Linked DNA regions of Rattus norvegicus. The protein of the gene in region 1 interacts with the protein of each later gene in a pairwise test. Links are inferred from orthologs where the notes say so. Each region holds a gene or a part of one and is shown on either strand. Other genes may lie near its edges.

Region 1 (2,479 bases):
AGACTGGATAAGTGTGGCTGTGACCATTGAACATTAAAAGAGAAGAAAGCACTGTGATTTAAATTGAATTTTTAGCCAAAGGGAATGGAATTGAGATTTTTGACAGATAATTTAAATTCCCATTAAAAATAGCCACTGGAGGTACTGGGTACGCCACTCTGTGAAAACCGCAGTGGACGGTGGAGACTGACCAGCTCCATGCATTTAAACCACATTAGTAGAGACAGAGACATGGCAGCTTTTGAAAAGCCTTCAAAGTACTCAAACCTAGCAAAAGTTTGCATACAATTCTAATGTGATTATTTATGCCAACCAATGCATGGGGTCCCTTTTGGAAATTGAGGTCACATGTGGGAAATAAACAATGCCATGTTCATTATAGTAGATTTTTTTTCTTTTTATCCGGAACAATATACTTCAGTGGTCATATGAAAACCCTGAAATATATAATCCTGCTAGATTCATGATACGTGACATTTTGTCCAACCTTTTTAATGTACTTGCTCATGTTCAATCTGGAGTCGACCATTTTAACTGAACTACATCTCATTACCTATATTCTAAACGATCACAGACAAAACACAACCTCAAATGACTGTTTATTCAACCTTAGGTTTTAATGAAGCAAGCACTCATTTTCTGAATAAACATATTTTCATGGGAAACCATTTTCTATTCAGATGTTGAAATAAAGAAAAACAGGCAGGGGTCTTTCCCAGGATGGCCTTTAAAAGTCTTTTGATCCTAAAAGTTGTAAGAATTTTTTTAAAAAAGAAATCTTCTTTTGCAAACGTCTTGCTTTATAGGATATCTTTTTGCCCATGTTACAAAGAGAATAGAATTATTTCTCAGTTAGTTATGTGTAGTTCACCACTATTCAAAGTAGTTTGCTTCAAATTTCAAAGACGGCTCCAAGAGGGATTCTTAAGAAAACTATTTGTGCGCTGGTGGTTAGAACTGTAGTGAGTCCACAGCCTTCCAAAGTATCTGTTTGGGCTGGATAAATTTACCAGGGGCCCTATTAAAACCCAGGCACACTGATTTATGGTTATAGTCAATCGATGGGAGGCATTTCGGGGATCATCCAGTTTTATGGGAGGTAGGAGCGCTACTTCCTGGGTATGAGAGCGTTCAGATGCGGCCTCAGACAACAAGGAAGATGAGTCTGCAGACAGAACTGCCACTCTCTGAGAATATATAAAGGGACAAGACGAATGGGGTGTCACACTCACACCTGACGTGCTCCCAGCCGCTCTTAGACCACCACCACCCTCTCCAGTTCACTATGGCTAACCGTAACAACTGCTCCAGCAGCTGCACCTCTGGATCCCTCAGGAATTCCTGCCACATCCCAGCCAGCTCCAACATTGCCCTCTGCTCTACAAACATGGGCTGCGGAGAGGTCTTCTGCGTCCCCAGCAACTGTCAAGACCACACCTGGTTCATGGACAACTGCCCAGAGACCTTTGCAGAACCTATCAGTGGCCAGCCACCCAGCCGCGAGGCCAGCGGCTTTGAAAACTCTTGTTGCTCTTCTGCATATTGTGTGCCCAGACCCTGTCATGGATCTGGCTATCTTCCCACGACTTCCTTCATCTCTGGATCTTGCCTCCCAGCATCCTACAGGCCCGTGAGCTATGTATCTAGCAGTTGCCGGCCAGTGAGTCCTTTCATGAACAGCTGCCGTCCTGTAAGCTGTGGATCTGGTGGCTACCGCCCACTCCCTTGTGTATCCAATAGCTGCCGACCCGTGGGCATCGTCACTTATGGATGTAGGCCTTCAGGTTGTGTGACCTATGGCCCTCAGACCATTCACATTGTGTCAAACAGCCTGAGACCTCTGCAGCCTGTCTGCGGTGGTTGCCAACCGGCGATCCCTGTGTTTGGCAGTTGTCGTCCATCTTGCTCTGCACAAGGAGGCCAGTAGCCTCCTTGTTCTAGTGAACAGCAATGACGAAGATCCAGGATAAAACTTGCAACTCTCTGGATGTTCACTTCTTTCCAGTTAGCATCTGCTTTTCCTTGTTTGCACCGTGTCTCTGTTAATGCAAACTGTTCCTTTCACACTGTGACTTGCTTTTATCTTTCCCTTGAAAAATCTTGGCCCCTATTGCCACTCATGTTGCTTAGGTGGGAAGATAATCTACCTGATATGATCTGCACTATAATAAACGAGATTAATCCAGAATTAAGAATCTAGTGCATTGAGTTTTCTTTCCTGACTTCATTTGCTAGGGGACACTGCACTGTCAGGTATATGCTACCTGACATGGGGACAATGGTTTATTATTTAGGAGTGTAATGGCCTCAGAAAAATATGGGGGACCAAATCATGACCTTTCTCAAAGTTATGGTCAAAAGGAGAGCTCAACACTAAACCTCTTACCTCTGACTTCTATTGCACACACCTCCACCAGAATATTCTCTAATTGCAAACCAGGCAATAGGCTCCTGTGTGAACCTAGGTTGTTTCCTTTGA
Region 2 (2,811 bases), on another chromosome or scaffold:
TCTTGCTGCTGACAGCTCCAAATCTTGTAAAAGGTCCCTCACAGGCTCGTGTGTTCAAACACTTGGTCCTCAGCTGGTGGTCTTGTCTTGGGAGGTTGTGGAACCTTCTGTACTTGGGACCTAGCTGGAGGGAGTAGATCTCTAGGGACCCGGCCTTGACAATGACTGCCTGGCTCTACTCCCCATTCCATTTCTGCTCCTGATCCATGGAGACATGAGCAAACAACCTTCTGCTATCACAAACCACAGCTATCACAAACTCCACTTGCCCTGCACCATGGCTTCTCTGCCACGGCGGACTGCATGTCAAACCATGAGCTAAAATAAACATTTTTCTCCTGTAGGTTGCTTTATTGGGTCATTTTGTCACAGACATGAGAAAGCTCACAAACCTCTTGATCTCTCTTACCTCTCACCCAAAGGAGACTCTCACTGAGGTTGAGTAGAGAGGTGGGGGAGGGTTGACCTGCTAAGACATGTCCAGACAAAGGCAGCGGAGACCAAGAGCAGGTGATGTGTTTATTGAAGGACATCTGATCCTGAGAATCAGGCTAGTTCTGGGGCTCCCGTGGAGATACTTCTCTCAAAAGCCCCAGCCCAGAATAGACAGATATAACAGACTCCAAATCAGTTGCATATAAATACAGAGGCTGGTGGAGGAGGTGGAGGGGGAGGAGCCAAAACATACACACACACACATACAAATAACAAACGAATGTGCAGGTTCCTATGCTAATAGAGAAAATGACAGCCTCCAGCTCTTTCCTTGTTCTGTTTCCATGAGACATTCATCTGCTTAGAAAAGCCCTGTCACTGTTAAATCCGACTCAGTAGCATGTGGCCACCTTCCCGGCAGTCCCTGCTAGGGTCTCTTGGATCAGAAAATGTGTCAAAGCCGGGAGACTAGGTGTGGTGGCAAACATGGGAGGCTAAAGCAGGAGGATCAGGAGTTCAAGGCCAGCTTTGGCTATGCACTAAGTTTGAGGGTAGCCTTAGCTACATCTGATCATCTCAAAAAAAAAAAAAAATCTCCTGGCAAAGTAAAAGAAAACAAAAACCAACTGAAACAAAATTACAATTTTTGTTTCTGTGGTCTTTTGCACCTCCCTTCCAATTCTGATGGGTGAACAACAAATCCCCTGACCAGAAAACAACAACAGCAATAACAACAAAAAAAAAAAAGACCGCAAGCACAAGAACATCTTAAGCACAGGCTGTGAGTCACAATCATAACATATTGCACACGGTGACGGTGTTCCTGAGCCCTTGCACTGCAGATCCCAGACATGGGCTTTTGCTCCAGCAGTCTCTTGCCTATCCATGCTGGTGTCACATACCCCATTAGTCCCCCCACTTTTATAACAGTCCACAGCATGATTAATTATCGGCCAAACTCAAAGCTGGGATCGGTTTAAGAACTATGAGCATGTGGTGGAGGGAAGTGAGGACCAGTTCAAACCTTTGTCTTCCTCTCAACAACATTCCCCCACCAGGGGGCAGTAATCCAAGTCCAACAGGAGAACACTAGCATCCCAGGGGTGGACTCTTCCAGACGGGGAGGGGTGGCATCCTCATCCTCGCTGTTGTTATCCACCAGTTGGTCCCGAGTTGGGTTAATAAAAGATACAGCCTCGTGTGGGACAGACAGTGAGGCAATTAAAACTTTTTGCTCCTACGGAATTTTCAAGTATCACAAAAATCCCTGACACGGTATGTAAACAAGATGATTTTTTGCAGGATAGAAAGCTAGATTGTTCCAGGAAGCAGCAGCATGTGGAATATCTAGAAGAATGAAAAGATCGGGGGTTCAAATACAGAGGGCAAGATAGCTGCTCACTGGGCCCCGTGGGGTCAGTGCTCGGCATAAACACTGGCCATGGGGCCCATGGAGCAGAGCTAGGGAGTGAAGAACACTCAGGATGGATCTTCTAGGGACATAGACAAACGTGCCAGGTGCCCCTTCTTTTTCAGTGGCATAGCTGTGAAAAGTAGTCTTTGAGAAGCCCAGATGTAGTACTGATCTGTATGCAGTCCTCAAATTCCAGTCTGATACGCTCCATTGGATCCCCCAGCTCAAGGGAATGGTCACAGAGCCATGTCTTTGTCCTCCAAGCACACATGAAAGAGGTTTCCCAGAGAGACCCTGTTGGGTGAGATATGTCCCTGGATGTTTTGTTTTGTTGGTTTCTTCTTTTTTTAAAAAAAAGCACAGACCCTCTCTATTGAAAGATACTAGGTTCTTTGCCTCACCTGGACTAGTTCTCTTCTTAGGTATTTACTTCCTTGGTCGGGTCTTCCAGGATTCTCCCTATGGTCCAATTGTGGCCTAGCTGTCAAAACAGCCTGTGGGGAACATATGGCTCCCGCTGAAGTAGCTGCTTCCGTAGGTGGCAGTAAGGCAGTGCCTGGGTTCAGCTGCTATGGCCATCTGCATGCTAAGGGATGCAGGAACGGGCACAGGACACATATCCAAGGGCTGAAGGGTTGGGTATGGCGTGTGGAGGGATGGACCAGTGTCTCCTGAGAGCAGGGTCCCTGAGCGGTGGGCCTGCAACGAGTCCCGATATGCCAAGCACAAGTCCTGCGCTGGACTCTGGAACTGGGCTAGTGTTGTTGGCGGTGGCTGGCTGAGAGAAGGGTAGGTGGGTGGTTGGAACAGCACTTGGGTGGGAGCTGATGATGAGCTGGGCACCATGGCCAGTGCCTGGCTCTTGACTGCAACGGCATCCTTGAGGACATTGTCATATGCTCTAAAAAGGAAAAGGCTCAAGTGAGTTTTGGAGATCAAAGGTCACTAGACACCTACTTAAC

What was found.
Region 2: the proteins of Krtap26-1 (region 1) and Ccnjl interact in binary tests that used the Homo sapiens proteins (3 or more experiments, as listed by UniProt). The two-hybrid records come from large-scale screens. The link is inferred for Rattus norvegicus from reciprocal best matches to the Homo sapiens genes KRTAP26-1 and CCNJL.

Annotation. Positions count from the first base shown.
Region 1 is NC_086029.1:41,450,755-41,453,233, reverse strand, and holds Krtap26-1 (keratin-associated protein 26-1), read left to right. Parts: upstream 1-1,285; coding exon 1,286-1,927; 3' UTR 1,928-1,979; downstream 1,980-2,479. UniProt on the Homo sapiens protein: In the hair cortex, hair keratin intermediate filaments are embedded in an interfilamentous matrix, consisting of hair keratin-associated proteins (KRTAP), which are essential for the formation of a rigid and resistant hair shaft through their extensive disulfide bond cross-linking with abundant cysteine residues of hair keratins.
Region 2 is NC_086028.1:28,552,567-28,555,377, reverse strand, and holds the end of Ccnjl (cyclin-J-like protein), read right to left. Parts: intron 2,751-2,811; coding exon 2,327-2,750; 3' UTR 501-2,326; downstream 1-500.